Linked DNA regions of Drosophila melanogaster. The protein of the gene in region 1 interacts with the protein of each later gene in a pairwise test. Each region holds a gene or a part of one and is shown in the gene's direction. Other genes may lie near its edges.

Region 1 (4,635 bases):
CCAAATATGTATTGTATTATCAATTGAGTTTCAGTGAAATAATTGTGTGTGCTATAATTGAATGCAAGCAGAGGTTTTGCCAAAACCTGGCCATGTTTAGGTATTTCATTAAAAACACGCTCATAAACTACACTTGTATAATTGAAAAACTTGGCATCCTTTTAAATGCAATACGCTTTTATTGGGAAATTTCTCAATATGATTTAAACAACATTTCAGCCCGCCTAAGGGTTAATGTTCCAAGATGAAATCCCAATAGGTTTTAGTTCGAATCTTTCCCTTTTCCGTCTTCTTCTTGGCGCTTTTGTTGTTGCCCTGCCTGCGCTTTAGAGATCGGCATCTCGAATCTCCAATTGGAGTGAGGTTTTTTGTTATTTTCCTTTTGCACTCGGCGAGAAAATGCAGGGCAAAGAGCGAGTCTGATAGCGGGAAGGAGCAAAATGAACGACCCAACAACTAGCCGTACTAATTGGCATACACACATGCCACGCCTCCAACTGCTCCTAAGTGCACACACACACACACACACACACATACACACATGTGCATAAGTTTTTTTGAATTGTTACCGGTGCCAATTTGTTTTTGCGAGTGTATTTATTTGAATTTACTTTTATTCGCGTGAATATGTGTGAGTGCGAGAGAATTAAATCGCCGGCTGAGATAAAATAAAAGTCACTACAACAATAACAACAATGCTATTCACTCGCCTCTCGCTCGCACACGCTTCGCTTTTCGTTTGCTTTGCTTTGCGTTGCCTTTTTTTTCCGTTGTTTCCCCCCCACCCCTCTCCGTTTTTGCACACAACGCTGCGAGGTTAAGTTTGCGATTTTAGGAATTGTACGATTTCTACGGCTTTTCCGACATCGACATCACATTTAGAGGAACGAGAGGTGTTTACCATGCCATTTGGTGTGGCGAGCATATATCTTCCGCTTCCGATCGGATCGGCGATTGTCTTAAACTTTCAGAGGCTGCAACTATAGCTTTTTGTTGTTCTTTTTTTTTTTTCTTTCGCTTTTGTTTCTTTGGGATTTGGGTTTGTGGCGTGGCACTGTCGGCACGACACTTAAGGGTTAAGGTTAAGGGCCAATCGCCATGATTCCCAAATGTGTTTACTTCGGTTTTCCACAGCCGATTTTTGTCTATTTTCACAGTAAAAAAAATATTCACAATATTCACACGAACGCACACACGCAGAAATGGCCTAAAAATATACTGTAAGTTGGTGTAAAAAAAATACCGAAACGAGTGTGCAAAGAAGCCATCTGGCGGAACGATGAGTGCGCTTAACATGCACAGTTGTGTCTGTTAAAGTAGCAGTTTAGCGGTCACTTGTTACTTAGCGTGTGCACCAACCATAGTTATCGGATACTTAAACCGCTCGCCAGCGAGTGCACAACTCGCTCGCTCGCCTATCGAGTACATCAACCAGCAAAGCGAGTACACCCACCAGCCTTAGCGATCACACCCACCTCAATATAAGACGGAACTTATTGGTATTTTTGTGTTATTCTTAGTGATGCTTGTGCTTGGTATAATTGATCGATGGCAGAGCGGTCACATTGGTGCACCTCTGTGGTATTTTTCCACTTTCACACTAGTTTCTTTCAAGCAAGCAAAACCAACGGAACTTTAATTGCGGTGTGCGGCGAACGAGAAGAGAAACCGAAAAGCAGCCAATTTACTGTTGCGTTCCGATCCTGTTAATTCATCAGTTGCCGATTCTCCGATCGCGCCTGTAACTTTTTTGTTTAGTTTAGTGCATCAAGTGCGAGATAACACAGCAAAGCAACAACAAACGAAGCGACAGGCCAAAGCGGACGCGCAAAATACAATAAAAAGGAAGGAAGAAAACGAAGTACGCAAAAAGGAGGAAAGAGAAGCAAAAGCATTTACAGCTAAAGCATTATAGAGTGATTACGCATATTTCGTATGTTGTTCTTCATGATGTCTGCCGTGTGGAAAGATTCTTTCTTTTTATCTGGGTGTATACACCGATGAAATCCCAGAAAGGAATATACACAGGGGTTTTTTGTTTCATAAACAAAATTTGTAAAAGCCGCCAAAAGGCGCCGCTGCCGGCGTTGCAGTCGACGTCGAAGAAAGTGGATGTGTGTGTGTGTGTGTGTATATGTGTGTGAGCAAAGCAAGAGGTGAAAAAAAAACTCAGCAGTGAAATCTTTCTGCTGCTATTTGCTTTGTTGAATATTTAAATGTAAACTAAATAAAAGGTATTGCGCTTGGCATTTTTGTGTGTGTGCTCCATTCAGCAAAATAAAGGAAAGGAGCGGACTGATGAGCACACGGAGAGCGAGAGATAGAGAGAGAGAGAGAAAGAAAAGGAGAAGGGCGGCGAGAGCCTTTTATCAACGGCTATCAGCAGAAATATTTGTTGCCGCACCCCGCTTGACCTTATTCTCTCTCGCTCTCGCTGCCGCTCTCTCCTGCTTTATCGCCCTCTCTTTTTGCGGGGTGTGCAAGGTGCAGTCGCCGCCCGCATTTTGCGCGTTGACTCATACACACAAACACACACACACAAGCAAGCACGCACACGCCCCCATCGCCCCTTTGCTTTTTAAACTTCTCTTTATCCCAATTCCGCTTTGGGATCTCGTTTACGCCGCTCTAAATAACATTTGCCGAATTTTCCCAAGTATTAGTAATAATTTAACATTATACAAATATTATTTAACCAACAGTTAAATACAGTTGAGTTTTTTTTTAAATGACAAGTTTATTAAGCACATTTCTTCATTAATCACATATTTCGAATTTCTAAGAACCTTCTTTGGCACTCGAAAATTGTCGTTTGAAATGCAAGAAAATTCGCAGAAACGGTGTCTGGTTTTAATCTCTGTTATTTTGTGAGATCGCTTTTGATGGCATTCGCTCTGTGGCGTTATTTTCTCACAGTGACCCGTTTTCCGCTACCATCTTTCCCTTTCCCCATTTCTCATTATCTCCACGAACGTGCCGATTTTCGGGTTCTGTTGCTAATCGGAGAACCATTTTGACATTAGCGTTAGATCATCATGATGGTGATCGTTAGTTAATCCGCTTCAACTTTATGCGCATCTGAATGTTCCATCTTTTTATCCAACACGCCTAAAGCAAATGAGGAAAACTGAAAAACGTGACACAGAAAAATGGTTTTACAGTTTCTAATTAGGCTCAAGTTCAAGATCAATTTGAGTGCCAGCTTGTTTTATATTGAATAATTTCATTTATCTATGACTCACTTAATCGTATGTGTTGACCCCTTTCCCCCTTTCACCAACATTTCCTAATTATTTGTTTGTTTGTTTGGTTGCCAAGGGGCGTTAAAAGCTCTCACCAATTGAACGAAATGCGAACGGGGGGAAGTGAATAGCTGAAGTATGTCAAAAAAAAATGCGTTCTCAGTTCCTTTAAAACTGAGTGCTTAAATAATCAATAACTGCTCTTTGTGTAGTTTGCCTTATTATTTACAAAATGCGAAACCAGTTTTGATTTCAGATCGGTCTGTAGAATATGAGCCATTCATATTCCAGAGAAATTTAATCGTTATCAAAAGTGTAAACAAAATCTTACATTATTTGCAAGATATAGCCGAGCAATTTGTTAGCTGTTTCACCTCTGACCTTTTCAAATATAATTCTCTGGCAGGCGAGAATAGATTAACAATAGAGTTGAAAACACTGACTCATAATCTTCACGATCTTTCGCAGTGACACAGTTTTTGGTATATATGTAGTTTTCTCATCTTTTGTTCGGCATCTCCGGCATGTTTGCTAACTTGGCCAGAAGGGAGAAGATAGCGCAAGTCGGCCAACTTAGCCTAATTTATAGCCATCAAGCTGTGATTTGCTCTAATTTCACTTCTAATGGAGTTTTGTCAAGGGAGACAAATCACGGAAATGGGTTCTATTTCTATGTTTCTTCTAGGCCAAGTCCATTATGGCCAACATTAAAGTTTGTTTTCTACGAATAATAATGTTGGCCTAATGCAAAAGTTATACACACTTGATGATAATTGTCCATAATGGCCAAATATGTCTGCCGAATGTCTTCAAAATACGTTTTATATACCTGATTATCAATGAATTGTGCATTAAATACGTGTAATGACTTTGTTATTTTCCAATTAAATGATTAATCGCCCGTTACCAACGATCTACGATATCCGTTTGTAAAGCATTTAACATTTGAAAATCTTGAGATTTCTTCCAACAAACGATTCTTGACAAAGTCGCGCGCGCAATCACATATTTGTTAGCTGACTTTAGTTTGTTACATCATCGTATCAGCATCTCCAAAGTTCTCTCAACACATTTGCCTTATACAGGTTTTATTTGTTTTATGCCCAGGCTCTCAAGTGTTTCCCCATGGCTTTTGTTGTTGCTCCATCGCATTTCAAGATCTTTTATCACAGCTGACTATGCCTAGGTTTTAATTATGCTCTCCTCGCTTCAGAAAACACTTCCCACGCATTGTTCGTACATATATGTACCTATTTTTCATATACCACTCGGTGTGAAATAAGTTTTTAGTTTTTTTTTTTTTTTTTTTTTTAGGTATCGCTATCTGCAAAGGCAGATCAAACTTGCTCGGCCAAATAAAAACACTTTGTAAATGAGTCTGAGCCACGCAGTT
Region 2 (5,357 bases), on another chromosome or scaffold:
CGATTCTGCTGGACATGCTCCTCCAGCATTTCAATTCGTAGAATGGAGCAGATCTCCGCCAGCGTTTCCAAGTGATTAATATGTATAATAAAGGGTCGCATGGTGTCATAGAGAATGGTGCACAGACCCTCCAGATAAACCCTGTGGGAAAAATGAGATCAATCCTATTTTCCAACTAGATGTACGAGTATTACGTCAGGTGTGGCGCTCCTGTGCTGAAGAACTGGTAGAACAAACGCTGTTCGTCCTGGCAAACATGCACCAAAAAGGCGCAGGCGCTTCGGGTGAGAGAGCAGTGATCCCCTTTGTGGGCCACCTTAACGTTTTGTATGGACAGATTCACTGCTGGCGACATAACGCTGGCTCTTTGCGCCAAGTAGTGCTGTTGAAGATCCGCCATTAGTTGGGCGTAGTCGAGGCTGTGTTCCGACCGGGACTCAATCAACTGGGCGACCCGCTTCACTTTTGCCGCGGCCGTTTGATATTTGCCGTAGTACAGAGCGAATGCGGCATCTGGTGCCTTGAGAGCAGCGGAGGCATCCGGCATATTGTTCTTGGGATGGAGCGTGGCCTCGGTTGCCTGGTTTATCACACTCGTCACATAGTTACGCACCAGACCCGAGGCTTTGGCCAGGCACTGCCTGTACTTCACATTGTAGGCGGCCGCATCCTTGAATTTGGGCTGTGACAATGAAGGATATTAGTATATACATGACCGAAGTGTAACAGACAAGCTCACATTCTCCTCGATGTAGTTTAGGCATTCGTCGATCTTGTTGAGGCACTCCCGGAACGCTTCGCTAGCCACCGAAAGCGTGGGGCTCTGAAGTCGTTGGTTGAGCAACTCCACCTGGCTGAAGTAGTGCAGACGGCGTTGAATCTCGTGACTCAGCTCCTGCAGTCGCTCCTGCTCCTCGATCAACTGCTCGCTGGCCGTGTTCAGAGCGCTGGTCTTTTGCGACACAAAGTCGTACTCGTCGCAGAGGGCACCCAGGCGCTCCATGGCCCCAGCGATCTGGTCCAGCATGTGGGAGCACTCCGCTTTGCGCTGCTCCAGCTGCTGCAGGTATTTGTGGTAGTCGGCATCGCCACGTTGCTCGATCTCGGCGCTGACGTCCGCGAACCAAAGCAGAAACTCATTGGTGTTCTGGAGTCCCTCCGCAGGTAGTCTGATGTCATCGCCGCTTTGCGAAGTTGCAGCTGCCGATGAATCGGTAGGACCCACCTGGGTGGGCGTAGTCGGTGCCGGTGCCTACAAAGAGTCGGGTTGCAATTATACGATTGCCATTCGAGGAGGAGTCGACTCACCGATGGTCCGCTGTCGCGCCACAGATTGGTCAGGACGTCCAGGTGCTCCTCTTGCTGGATACTCAGAGCCGCCAGCGGGTCCGTTTTGGACTCCCATTGCATCAGGCGATTGCGAATCTTGCGCAAATTCTCATTCTCGCTCTGAATTCGTTCGACGTCATCCATTTTTCTGCGGCGGATTTGGAAACAATCAATCAGCTGTTCAGAGATGACCGGTCTGCGCCTTCCAGTGCTGCTCAGCAAGGAGACTTAGCTAGAACTAAAACTCTTGATTGATATAAGTTGCCTTTATTTGAATGGTATCATATGTTAAGTAATCTTTAATTTTAGATTTAATACATTTTAAGCTCTTTTTATGCTCGTCCGTTTCTTACATAAGTTTTATATTAAATATCTGTCTGTTTAGCTTGGCGATTACTTAGCCAAGATTTCACCACTGACGGGACGTTTTCCATCACTGGCAGCATCAATAAAGTTCTGTTCTCTATTGTTTTTATTGCATTTTGATCAGTTTTTCCGCATCATATAGCATACGATGGCGCCGCAGCCAGTGGTTACGGGGCTATCTCCGAAGGAGGGTCCTCCTGGCACCCGCGTTATCATTCGCGGCGAGTTCCTGGGCACCCGAGTGCAAGATCTAATTGGTAGGCGTAGCCTGTCCCAAATAGCTTCTGTTTTCTGATGACTTTCCCTTCCAAAAAAAAAAAATGTAAGGTCTAAAAATCTGCGGTTCAGATTGTCTGCTGTCGGCGGAGTGGAAATCACCCAATAAAATCATCGCACGCACTGGTCCGGCGAAGGGAAAAGGCGATATCATAGTGACCACTTTAAGCGGCGGAGTGGGCACGTCCACGGTTCAGTTTCGTGCATACCACGAGACCATTGGCCCGCTCAAGGAGTCCGCCGTGTGGATCGAGGAGTCGCCCTCGCAGAATTTTGCCTGGGGTCGGCGCACCCTAGCCCAATCCGGACTGACGCAGGAGGATCCACTTGGGCTGTCCATCGAGGGTAACGAGCAGAAGATCCCCGAGGACCTCCGCGATCTCTTTCCCGAAGCCTGCGGGGATCTGTCGCAGGAGCACTTCTCCCCGGCCTGGTTCCTGCTTGAAAATCACCTGGCCACCTCCTTCGAGGATCTCAAGGCGGGCCTGTCCTACTTGAAGCGGAAAGTGGAGAGCCAGAAGGAAGGTCAGTTGTCCTTCCTCAAGTCCAATGCAGGCTCGGTGATTGACCAGCTCGATACGCTGATGAACATCCGAGACAAGCTGCAGGAGGATGTCAAGCTACACGGCAATGAGACCCTAAATATCTTGGAAACATCCATAGAGAGTGAGTGGGGTTTATAGATTAAGATATTTAATTCTAAAATTGTTCGACTTATAGACTCCATTAGCGAATCGCAAAAGATATTCACGGATGTGCTGGTGCGCAAAGAGAAGGCGGATTCCACGCGGTCCGTTCTGTTCGCCCTGTCGCGGCACAAGTTCCTCTTCTGTCTGCCCAATTCGGTGGACAGACGTGCCAAGGCGGGTGAATATGACATTGTGGTTAACGACTACTCGCGCGCCAAGAACCTCTTTGGCAAGACGGAGATTCCCATTTTCCGCAAGGTGCTCGAGGAGGTCGACCACAGGATTCTGTCAATAAGGAAACAACTGCACGAGAAGGTGGTCAAGATGCCACAGAGCGTGGAGCAACAGAAGAAGCTCATCAAGGCGCTGATCAGTCTGGAACTGCAGCAGAGCGGAACTCCCATTGGCGATAAACTGCGCAACATCGATCCCGCCTGGGATGCCATCGAGGCCAGAGCCAAATATCTGGAGTGGACATTTCGCCAGACATTTGATCAGCACACCAGCAAGGATTCGGGTGCCCAGGAAAAGGCAAAGAACAGGGATTCCAGCCAGGCGCCCAATCGGGTTAACTTCTGCGAAGAACTGTGCGACATTGCCGCCTCCCAGCTGCCGGACTTGTGGCGTCTGGGCCAGCTATACTTCACCGGCGAGCTACGCGGACCTCATGATCCCAAGCCAGGGGATTTCAAGCGAATGGTTTTGAACGCCATCGAGAAGTTCTGTGTCTACTTGAGGTTGGCCATTCTCATTGCCACGGATCAGCGCGCCCTGCGTCAGTCCAGCGGCTTGGCTTGGCCCATCGGCTCCGCATCGGCAACACATCAGTTTCTACCCTGGATTCCGCAGTGCCTGCGTTTCACGAGGATAGCCTATGCCACGCTCATCAGCCTGGATCTGCCCTCGGAAGCGCTGGACATCATACAGAAACTGATCGATGAGGTGCGACTTTTCTGCTTCTCAATTATCTTCAAACGGGCCACGGATCGGTGCAAAAAGCTGGGCAGCCAGGAGACCTGGGAACTGGGCGTGGAGGAATATCCAGGTGCCACATTGTTACCCGCCGCCTTGGAAACATTGCTCATCGAAACGCTGGACGAGGTGCAATCTGTGTGCATGCAAAGGGAGACCCGGGAGGGCAATCTCCTCGAGCCGCAGTCGGATGGACAGAGAGAGGTGACACAGCGACTACAAGAATTCCTATCCGCGTTTAGCGCGGTGATCGAGGAGCTGGCCTTCCACTCCCACGACGAGGAGACGCCCACCCACAATGTGTCGCAGCTACTTGGATTCCCCAATGCCCAGCAGCCAGATTCGGTGGCTGGAAGCGGCGGAGCAGCGGCTGTGACCTGGGAGCAGCGCATGCTCTGTTGCCTGGCCAACTATGCGTACTGCAACAAGATCTTCTTCCCGCGCCTTGGTGACATCTTCGTTCGCTACGGTTACCCGCTGCCCACGCTGGCAATCGAAACTGCTCGCTACACGGTTAACCAGCTCTTTACCAATCTTCTGGAGGAGTACGTCGAGCATAAGGGCGATCCGCTGGTCGGCACCATCGAGCCCTCCATGTATCTGGGTCGTTTCCAGTGGGATCACGAGATGGAGATCGGCCAGCTGCGTCCTTACGCTCACGAGTGCTGCGATAATTTGGTTGGTGTCTACTCCGAGATCTACAGCATTTCACCGGCACTGCTGCGACCCATCCTGGAGTCCATTGTGCAAACCATATCCGAAGAGCTGGCCCGTCTGATGAGCTGTGTCCAGCGCTTTAGCTTCACGGGAGCGATTCAGGCCCACGTGGATATCCGTCTATTGAGGGACTCCCTGGAAGGTTACGTCAATGAGACTGCCAAGTGAGTGATCTAAATGAAATACCTATGAATTTCAATAATTCTTCTAATCTGCAAAAGGAACTACTTCATGGAAGCGCTGGAGGCCATCAATCCGCCCCTGAGTGGCGAGCAGAAGCGTAAGGCGGACGAGATTCTGGAGCGGGTCAAGCGGAACATGCGTCTGCAGCTGCTCTGCTTCAGTGTCAAGGACCCCTAGGCACATTCCACTGCAGGGCGCAGCCCATGTAGATAGCGTATACTTTAAGTAGCTTGTGATTACCCATGTTCTAGGGATAAATCTTTATTCGATTGCATAACTCTCTTACTTACTACCACGACTCACAAGCCCAACAGCTTTGGGTCAAAGTTGAAGTTGTTCTGAGCCATGGTCTTGATGACCTGCTCCACATCGATGGTGTTGAACTTCTCCTGCACACGCTGCTTGATGGGGTTCTCGATGGCGTCCATGATCTGGTAGCGCAGCAGGTTGGGAATGACGTTCACCGCAAACTCCATGACGTAGTCCAGCGTTCCCGCTCCGTCACATCGCACCTGTATGTTGCCCATGTCAAACTGCAGATCGGTGATCTGCGCCCGCTTGCGTGTGTCCAGGGATTGGCTCAGGCCAACGGTGGCGCGTATGTGCTGAACCGTAAATTGTACGTGACCGACGCGTGTCATCATGCCCACACCCACCTCCCACTGGCCGGCTCCCGTCACCTGCTGGGTGCCTATTTGCAGAACGACCGACACCGTTTTGTTGGCCATGCCAGCGGTTATGTTGCCCACGCGGTAGAAGCTAGAGATTCCATTGATCCAGGTGTGTGCTAACTGGACACTGAACACGCCCATGGTGCGATTGACA
Region 3 (4,940 bases), on another chromosome or scaffold:
GACACAATGCTGGGTTGTCGCGGATCCACGCAGATGCCCACCGGACGATTGGCATTGACATCCCGCGAGAGCCTCACAAGCAATTGCCCGATCCTTTTGTGAAATGTGCGTTGTGCGGAGCTAAAGTTGCTGCCATTCCTCAGTGACTCCGAGTAGTGATTAGGGTGAAACTTGCAGGGCCAGTGCTTAAGGGTCTTCTCGTACTGCACCCGCAGTCGGGGCATCCGTTCCGGCACCTCCACCACCCGGACTCCCTGGCACAAAGCACGGAGCACGTGCTCCGAAAAGGCAAACTGTTCAAGGTGTTGTTCCAGGCTTTGAGACACTCCGATCTCTGAGCTGGGACATATGAGCACGCTGCGATCCTGGACGCGCTTTAGGTGTTGAAAGTGGGGCAATTTCTGTGAGAGCTCCTGGATGACCGCCTGGAGCTGCTGTTTCGTCTCCAACTCGCAACTGTGCGCCTTGATGAGCGCAATATCCTCGTCGAACTCATCGGAGAGGATGGCCCGGATCCCAGTTATGTCTTCATCCAGATTGGGTGATTTTCGAGCACGTTTGTTTGGTGGCGCGGATATATCCATTATTTACTTAATTCTTCAATTAGAAGAATGCCAATTGGAATCGATTGAAATAGGTTATCGATAAGTGCCAAGCGCTGGCGTTGAAACAGCTGTTTGGATATTAAGCGCCAACTTTGAAAAATGTCTTCTATTTAAAATATGCATTTAAAAATAATTTAGTGAAAGATTATACGTTTAAAAGTCTTTAAAGCTATTTAGCTTGGGAGCTGTTTCAAATATTTCCTACTTTTGATATACATTCCCTAATACTTAATCTAATCAGCTCAATAATCTGATCAATTGTCTAATTTGCATTATAATTCCTTACAACCAATATCTTTTTTGATGTCTACATGTAAGCAGTGCCCAGTCTGATACCCAAAGTTTAAATTCAAAATTCCAGTGAAATATGTGCTTGTGATTTCTAGTCAAAACTTAGAGGAAACATCGAAATGTGTCTGCGCTTGTTTTGCGGCTATTTGTCGCTTTACATTGGCTGCATCTTCATCGGCTTCACGGGGATGCTTCTAGCTTTAATGGTCTTTTCTGTGGGTCTATTCGAGATGATCAAGGGCAATCCGGAAACAGTGCTTGTGGTCATGGCAATGGTCTTTGGCATTGTCCAAGCCCTAGCTAAAATTCTTCTTCTCCTCGGAACGATGTGGGTAAGTGAATACTTTTATCCTTAAATTTGTAAAGATATCCAATCGCTGTTCTACAGGACATGTGCTGGGCCATGCTCTTGTCCTTTTTTATAGGTATTGCGGCCCTGGGGCTCCTCATCGCACTTGTGGTGCTCTTCTACATCCTCTTGTGGGACCCTCTGCACCTCCTTCTGGGCGGTTTTCTTAGCATACGTAAGTTGGTGAAAAAATTTTGAATTTCTTTTGGATCTGAAAACAAAAGAAGATAGAGAAGTAGATTAATACATTAACTATCGAGAACTTCTTTCTATAACACACACACAACATATAACACAAACAAGCAACAAAACGTAGTGGACTTAAAAAGTACATAAATTCTATTCACGTTCGATTTTTAATTAAAATAATATTTTTCTCTTATCCAGTCGAGATGTACTACGAATGGGTCATCATTTCAACCTGGTGGTGCTGTCGATCATGCACCCACGACTGCTAGGAGTTGCAGTTGGTTCCACTTGTTGCATGCATAGAAGATACAAACATACCATGTTGGAGATCGAACGCCTTGGAATGAGCATACTATGCAACTCTCAGCGATCTTCGCATCGGATGTAATACTGTGAGCACCGAGAGAGAGAGAGAGAACTTGTATTCGAATCCCCCCATTATTTGTGTATGAGGTGACTTCGTGCTCGGGTCTTCCGACTTGAGTGTCTTTCAAGTAAGTCAGTTCACTCTGAGACGCGCGCTGGATATGTCGTTCCTGGAGCGCTCGAGCTGTTCCTGCGAATGAGCGTGTGTGTGCCAGTGTACCGCCCCCTACCCGTCAAGAAAAAAAAAAGGAAATAAAAATATCGGCAGGAAAAATATCAAAAATTATATCTGAAAATACACAAGTGTATCTGCAAGTGCAGTCGTATATGTGAGACGAGAGTGTTTTCCATTTGCCGCAATTAGAAGTAACGGTGCGAAGGTGATTTGCACGGGAGAAACTGGAAAATCAGCGAAGCGCGAGATACTTGTATCTGCAATTTGTGTGTTTTCGTTTTGTTTTCGGTTTCGCAAATAGCAAGTGAAGAGCCCATTACTTTAATTCAATCAACGATCGGTTGTTGTGTGGCCCGCTTTTGGAGAATCCCCACAATTTGTTCTAAGCCCAAATAAAAGTAATAAAATAAAAGCCCCAACCCCAGAGACAGAAGTCCGTGAGCCGGTTTAGTCATCCGAAAGTTCCGAGAACTGAGCGCAACATTGAGATACATTCGCGTATTCTCATTCCGAATCGCTGGACACCAGCTGTTGGCCACAATGCCTCCGTACCTGCTGGATATTTGCCTTACCTCGGAGCTTAGTAGACCGCGATAAGATATCGGCGACTAGTGGTGAATAAAGCCAGATACTCGTACTCGAAACTGCGAAAACGTCCATATACGACAAACAAACGGAAAAGAAAATCGCACAGTTCGGTGCCAGTGTTTAAAGTTAAATCGAGCGCTTATCTTATCGGCCAGCCATTGATTGAGCTTTGCCTTTCCGCTCTGCACCGGGTGAAGTCATTTGGCCACAATTCGCCCGTTTTAGATACTGTATCTGCGGCCATATCTAATGCAGCAGCCAAAGCAGTCGCGATAATAACGACCTCCTTCAGTGTCAGTTGCTCTGCAATCGCCGTCTAAATTTAGAGACAGATCAGGCGCGAGGGACCAGATCTGGCCAAAACCAAACCAGACGCACTCGGAAATCGTAAATCAAGCAGCCGGAGGAGACCAAGATGGACATAGAATCCGATTCGGACACCTCGGAGAGATGGGAGGACTTTTTTGGTAAGCGAACGGGATCACTGAACTTCTGCGTGCAGAAATGACATGACTCAGCGGGCTGGGGAGGTGCACTGAGGAAAAATCACGTATCAATCACAGATAGAGACTAGTAATATTGGTTTTCAGCATTTCAGACGACATTAGTCTACATTTTAATAATCCGTCATTGAAGGCATAAGAACATACAAAAGCTTAGGGTACTATATGTTTACAGTAGGATTATGAATAATATACATATGTCCCGATCTTATATTTCTTCCTGTGTGGGAGACACTACGCATTCTCCAAGAACTCCAAACTCCGAATATGGACTTGCGTACAAGAACAGACCATCAAGTTGGCTTTCTTTGGCTCGGCGGGTTGGGGGATGGTGATGGAATGGGGATTGCGGCTGGTGCTGGGACTGGGACTGGGGCCAATGCATTTGGTGGATCGACGGCACCGTTCCGTTCCCATAACTGTACAAAAAGTGGGGGGAAAATAAAATAACAACCCACTGAGTGGCATTGCGTGAATTGCGGTGTAACGGGTTCGCTTTGTTTTTGCATTCCGCTTTTGCGCAGTCCGAAATTTTTCGACATTATTTAAGCGCTCGAAAAGTCGGTTGTAATGAAATTTAATGATAATACATAATTTCGGGCCATTTTGACCCACATATTACCATACAAGTGTGGCCAAGAAAAGGTCTGTCTTCGGATTTGCAATTTATGTTTTGGGTGGCTCCATTCGGTTTGCTGACCCACTTAATTCGTAACGCCGATTTGCTTGTAACTTTGTGGCACATGCTGCATATTTGTTTTTCTTCTCACCGAAAGCTTTCGTTCAATTAAGTGCATTAGTCATAAGTCTTGACACTGCGTTTCTTTTGTTGACTTTCTTTATTATTATTGCACGCCCGCTAACAGCGGATGTTAGATAACGCCGCCCTTAGCGCAACAGCGCTGTAAGTAGCTCTGTTAGTTAACCCATGTTAGGCCAAAGAAGGTTTCCAAACTTATAATAATCAATAGTAATATGTATATGTAATAAGTAATATGTATTATCATACTAATTGCAAGTAACTCTATTAAAACTGTAAAACTGAATTTAAGCAATCTTTTGGCCAACACAATTCCAAACCAAATGTGTGAAGAGAGAGAGAGAGAATAACTAATTTAGTTAAGTACCTTCAAAAAACTGCCCGAAGAAAATAGTTTAAAACGGGTTAAGATGGTGCGTCAATTATTGATAACGGACACTGCGAATTCAGCAAGTGGCCTTTGTTATATCAATTATATACACATACATGAGTAGGGCGAATGAATCATGTATAGGTGATGGGGGGGTGTTGCGGCATTTATGGGTTTGTTCTGCTGATCCCACCAGCTTAGACATAGACGATTGTGCAAGTGGTTGACATTTGGCGGGGTCAGCAAACGTGACGCCATCTGTCGGCCGCATGTCCAGGATATTACCGATCGCATCGACCTATAAATAGAACCCGCCGAATGATATCGCCAGCAGTTGACCGCATGCACTATCAAATGTCACCAGTTCGTCTTCTTTTGCCCTTTCCGTCACCGTGTTTGTTTGCCTCTTCAACAACAGAGTCAACTTCAATTCCAGACAAACAAACAAAACGGGGGAATAAGAAATTTTCATCTGTGGACACAAGTGCATGAGCGCAAGGGGGCAGGGTGCCAGGTCAAGTCGTTGAATTACCACTCGTAACCACAAACACCACGGGAGTCTGTTCATTCGATATTGTTAAAGATTGTGATCTGAGGAAACCTTTTTGGGCCCTGCGGTTCGCCATCGATTCTCTTGTGACATTTATTTGGCTGGCCTGGCTTTCATATTTGGTTTATTCAATAAATACTAATAGATATCGATGGTAGTAGGGCTAAGGCGTTGATAAGATTTCGCCGCATGTA
Region 4 (5,306 bases), on another chromosome or scaffold:
TCGCCAGTAGTCCGCCAGTTGCGAATGGAGCAATTTCCAGCCGGGAGTGTTTGCAATCCTGGTACTATCCCGTGAGAAGGGCTGAAAAAGGACTGTAAAATACCCAGTTCCCATCTATAGTTATCTGTCGTGCCTGCAAGGGGCTACGGCAACTTTGGTGGTATTGACAAAAAAAAAACGAAAGATACATGTCACAGTTATCATATATAAATTATCAGTCATTTGAATAAATCATTATTCATTATTATTATTATTTTCACTTCTTGTTACAGATAAAGTTACATAAACTGCGTATACCCTCTTGTTCGGCACACATCCAGGGTACCACACGGCAAATATGTCCTGCAACGAGAAGACAGCGCTTCTGGCAACGCAACAAGGACATCAGCAGCGGCAGCAGCGGCAGCAGCAGCACATCATTGTCGTGCCCGCGACGGGGAAGGATCCAAAGGATTATGAGCCCATTTTCACAACTGCTGAGTAAACGCTTTCCGTCGTATTTCATTAAAAAATAACTTCGTTACACAGTGCCGCCTGCCCGCTTCTTTCGTAGCTATTCCTACGGACTGACGCTCGAGGAGCTCCTGCCCTTCGCTCTGGATCCCTGGTGGCAGGCCGTACGGCGCCTCAGCTGCGGGCTCCTGGGCCTGACTTTCCTGCTGACCCTGATTGCTGGACTGGTTATGGCCTATTCCGACAGTGTCTGTCTCCCAAATAGAGCAATTAGCAGAAACGCGACCACCACGACAACGATGGCCACGCCACTATCCTTGGCTCTCAACGGCTCCCAGCTGCTGATGGCCAGTTTATAGTGGCCGTAAGCTAATCTGTGTAGCATTTTGGAGATGCCGCAATCCACCCTGCGGAATTGCATCAGCCGCATCAGCTCGCACTATTAGCATTTGTTTGGCTTGCCGGTAATGGAGGCGACCTAATCCTCCTCCTCTCTACTGTTTACCCCTACTCAAGCTGAGTGATAAGCGATGCACCGCGGGATTGATTGGTCGTGAAATAATTATACTGATTAACTTATTTGCTACACAACCGCCTACTCGTAAAGTAAAAAGAATGCAAAAGGTATAAGGAAGCGTTTCCGTACCAATTAAGAACATTGTATCGCAAACTTATTAATTTTTATATATATACATATATATATATGAATATTACTTAAACTAATAAACGAATAGTTTTTTTTCATCGCTGTATTCTGGTTTCGGTTTCTGGGAGTTTAGAAGTTAACAAACCGCCTTATAGTTTTACAGCCCCACCCTGAAAAAATGGTTTGATTTAGTTTTATTTTATAAATAGTCTTGGCAATTTGTATACTTGTGAAAAAACATTTTCACCACGCCCACACTAGCGCGCACAATTAACAAAATCCTGTAGTTACAGAGGTGGTACTCTTGTCATTTTGGAAGTTTTATGTATTATGTAGTTTATGTATATATATAAAAAATATTTTCTTAGAATTTAAATTATTTAAAATATTATTATTATTATATTATATATTAACACATATTTATTTATTTATTTATTATATATATATATATATATATATATTAATATTATAAAAATTTAAGAGTTAGTAGCTGATCGCATTTCTGATAGTTGAGGAACTCGACTGTAGCGTTTTCTCTTGTTTCAATTTGCCTTTTTTTAAATATCTACACCGTTACTACATATTTTTTACATGACACAGTAGCGCCATCTGTGCACTTATCAGTGTTGGATAGCAGCGGCGACTTCGATTAAGCAATCGATTATTTGTTGCATATGTTGTTTACGGCAATTGTTTATATTTATTTACTGCTGGTGAAGTGATTATTCGTGATGGATTTTGACAGTCCCGAGGAGAAGGAGTTTCCCGGGCTGTACGCCTCCGAGGCGGCGGACGCTAAGTCGAGGAAGAGCAAGGAGGAGAGCGACTGTGAGTGGAGCGCAAAGATGTGGGCGTAAGCTGGGAAAAAATCAATGGGCTCACCTTGCCTTTACAGTTAGTGAGGATCACGACCATAGCAAGAAGGACTTGTTGATTGGCCGGCGCAAGGACAAGAAGGAAAAGGGCAAGGATCGAGGATACGCCGCTCTGGAGGGCGAGAGCTCGCCGGAGGAGGAGCTGGACACCAAGTGGGTGCAGGTCAGCTGACCCAGAGACAAGTAATATTTTTTCTTTTACTTCCAGAAGTCCATCCAAGTCGAAAAAGTCAAAGACCTTTAAGTTCACCAGCTCCAAGAGCAAGGAGAAGCGGGAAAAGTCGCGGGACAAGTCTGAAAAAGACTCGAAGCACGCAGAGGAGGAGCCTTCCGTCTCCCACAAGGTCAAGGAGAAAGAGCGGGATAAGGAGAAGGACCGTGATGAGCCCAAGAAGAAGGACAAGGAGGAGAAGCGCAAGGAAAAGGACAAGAAGGCTGACAAGAAGGACAAAAAGGATAAGAAGAGCAAGCAGCTGTCGCAGCAGCAGGACGACGTCTCCGCCGCGGAGGAAGTGCTGGCACTTGGGTATCCCGTCTTTGGGGTGTCCGTTAGCTTGGCGACCGAACGATCCCGCTGCCACGACGGCGTGGACATTCCCCTGGTTGTGCGCGACTGCATCGACTTCCTGCAGGATCACCTGAAGTGTGAGCAGATCTACAAGATTGAGCCCATCAAGACGCGTCTGATGCACTTCAAGCGGTTGTACAACAACCGGGAGCACGACTCCGCCGTTGATGAGCTCAACCTGCCTACCGCCTGCAGTCTGCTGAAGCTCTTCCTGCGCGAACTGCCGGAGCCACTGCTGACCACCGATCTGGTGGCCCGCTTTGAGGAGGTAGCCTCTCATCCGAAGGTAACCACGCAGCAGGCAGAGCTGCAGCAGCTGCTTGAACAATTGCCCAAGTGCAATCGCACCCTCTTGGCGTGGGTGCTGCTCCACTTCGACGCGGTGATCCAGCAGGAAAGACACAATAAGCTCAACGCTCAGTCGCTGGCTATGCTGCTCAGTCCGACGCTCCAGATGTCTCACCGACTAATGGTGGCCCTACTCTGCCACTGCAACAACTTGTTCGCGGACGTCCAGCTGATAAAGTGAGCAAACACCGGCTAGCCGGATAACAGTGGTGGGAAATATCCAAGTACCTTTGTGTTGGTAAAAGAGAAGTCCACATTTAACAACTATAGTTAAATCACAAGAACGAATCGAAGTCATAGCTCTGAAGTTAACTACTAAACTGTTAGTTTTAGTAAACTGTTAGTTTCCATATTTATCTAATGATATAAATTGTTTTTTTATATGTATAATAGGTACTTATAAGAACCCAGATAATTCCCACCACTGTTGGCAGTTGATAAGATTGCTGCTATAAAAATCGCCAGATTTAGTCGTTTATTTTGCAACCGACGATGAGCACATTACCCCGTAAACAGAAGCGCTTTCCACGTTTCGCCAGTTTTCTAATCAGGCAGAATGGCACACATTTAAACAAAGTTATCATAATACTAAATTGTCATCTCTTAGGTATGTGCCCCCTTTAACATCGACCAGCCCAAAGCTTCCGGATACGCCGGAGGACATCCAGACGGAGTTGCGCAAGCAGGACAGCCTCCTGTCCCAGATCCACAGCGAGATGAACGCCGGGTTCATTACCAAGAAACGCGAGGAACAGCTGTGGGAAGTGCAGCGCATCATTACCCAGCTGAAGCGGAAACTACGAACTTTTGAGAAGAAACAGGAAAAGACTGCGGAGGAAGTAGACAACAGCAGCAGTGCTCCGCCCGCTGTAGCCAGTGAAGATACCACTGACTCCAAACCAGCTGGAACTCCAGCCGTATCTACGAACAACAGTATTTCCCAGGAAGAGCCAAAAACCGATACACTAACTCCGAAAGATGCTCCTAACGATTTTACTATTGATCCCAGCACTGGCTTTATTTTGCTCCCCAAATCAAATCCGCACCGCGAAAATTTGCTGCGGCTCCAAATTGAATATGACGAGCTAATGGAATGGCAGAACGAACTAAAAGCACGTATCGTCGCCGAGCGCAACGAAGTCTATAGGCTCAAGCAGCTGTACGAGCAGCAGTCAATAAACAGTCAAATGGCCTCCTTGGCCTCGGGATCTCAGGCTCCCCCAGAATCCGACTATGAGCGGATAATCGAGCACTATACACGGGAGAATGCGCTGCTGGAGCACAAGAAGAATATGCTGGGCATGGAACTAAAGGAGGAACGACGGGCCTGTATTGCTCTACAAGTTGAGCTGCGGCTCCAGCAGTTTTAATGTATTAATTCGATTAATGTATTACTTGGATGGGTCAATTTGAGGGATATAACTAAGTTCCTATTCCGGAAACTTAATGGTCACATTTCCAAAGAAACATAAAAGGTCTACTAGGCAATCATAGGAGGTTTCTTAGATTCGTAGAAGACAATTCTATGTCACATATCTAAAATATTCAAATGAATAAACTTGTAAAGTTTTTGATAATTCATTTATCTGCAAACGTAGTCACTGTTCTAAACAGTGTCCTTTGTGAATTGCAATATATGAGAATTTTCAGTTCAGCTTTTAAGGAGATAAAATACTGCTAAAACATAAAACGGATTCCTCATGCCTAAAGTCAGTTTATTGTTTATTTGGAAATGAGCTAGTTTCAGACTTGACCCACCGAAATATATGTATGTATATAGGGTTACCAATTTTAAATCTCAATGTCTACTTGCGATCAAATGCTTTGTTCAAACTATAATTACTGTTAAACGGCGCAAAGCCCCAAAGAAATCTTGTTAGACAACTTTACTGCTTTCAACAATTAAATGAGAAAACAAACTCAAAATTCCCTTTTCTGTACTGAACTATTGCATCGAAATATGTCTCCTCGAAGAATTTTGTAAATGCCGGTAAAGTAGCTGCGTTTGTGTGTGCCGACAATCAAGATCCGATTTTCTAAATCGGTCTGATGACTTAATTCCAATCCGAGAAATACAGGGCACAGATTAGAAGATGTTTAGACGACGGATTGGCTGTTCGCTGGGGTGAAACGGAAATGACATCATCTCATATTACGTCTTGTCAACATTGTGATGGTCAAGGAACCGAGGTGGGCTTTGCGTGTTACGATTACTTTATTTAATATTTATTATTAATAATTTTAGAATACATTATCATTATGCATTACGTTCGGGGCGTGTTTTCTGTATTCCGCTGAAGTACAACTTAAAAATATCACACACAAATACCACGGGGGAAAGATGAGTCCTCCGGAATGCCAAACCGCGTCAACTCGCTCCCCTCCATGATTAAGTTATTTCCGCTGGACTACAGAT

The links.
Region 2: the proteins of Rala (region 1) and Sec5 interact in a two-hybrid assay, tested with the Drosophila melanogaster proteins (2 studies listed by BioGRID).
Region 3: the proteins of Rala (region 1) and GEFmeso interact in a two-hybrid assay, tested with the Drosophila melanogaster proteins (2 studies listed by BioGRID).
Region 4: the proteins of Rala (region 1) and Rlip interact in a two-hybrid assay, tested with the Drosophila melanogaster proteins (6 studies listed by BioGRID).

The regions. Positions count from the first base shown.
Region 1 is NC_004354.4:3,716,589-3,721,223, reverse strand, and holds the start of Rala (Ras-like protein A), read left to right. Parts: upstream 1-1,588; 5' UTR 1,589-1,861; intron 1,862-4,556; exon of another isoform or gene 4,557-4,635.
Region 2 is NT_033779.5:3,455,563-3,460,919, forward strand, and holds Sec5 (secretory 5), read left to right. Parts: upstream 1-1,739; 5' UTR 1,740-1,843; coding exon 1,844-1,952; intron 1,953-2,022; coding exon 2,023-2,637; intron 2,638-2,691; coding exon 2,692-4,513; intron 4,514-4,570; coding exon 4,571-4,709; 3' UTR 4,710-4,805; downstream 4,806-5,357. Other genes in the region: Cog3 (component of oligomeric golgi complex 3), read right to left, coding at 2-141, 195-682, 740-1,252, 1,309-1,473; CG3246 (uncharacterized protein), read right to left, coding at 4,832-5,357. UniProt on the Drosophila melanogaster protein: Component of the exocyst complex involved in the docking of exocytic vesicles with fusion sites on the plasma membrane.
Region 3 is NT_033778.4:18,608,771-18,613,710, reverse strand, and holds the start of GEFmeso (guanine nucleotide exchange factor in mesoderm), read left to right. Parts: upstream 1-1,933; 5' UTR 1,934-2,978; coding exon 2,979-3,030; intron 3,031-4,940. Other genes in the region: CG10927 (uncharacterized protein), read right to left, coding at 1-584; CG42697 (uncharacterized protein), read left to right, coding at 1,016-1,228, 1,285-1,420, 1,633-1,703.
Region 4 is NT_033777.3:21,015,948-21,021,253, forward strand, and holds Rlip (Ral interacting protein), read left to right. Parts: upstream 1-1,736; 5' UTR 1,737-1,830; coding exon 1,831-1,927; intron 1,928-1,994; coding exon 1,995-2,127; intron 2,128-2,182; coding exon 2,183-3,067; intron 3,068-3,497; coding exon 3,498-4,260; 3' UTR 4,261-4,806; downstream 4,807-5,306. Other genes in the region: CG5697 (uncharacterized protein), read left to right, coding at 338-480, 554-812. UniProt on the Drosophila melanogaster protein: Participates in receptor endocytosis during interphase, is also involved in mitotic processes when endocytosis is switched off.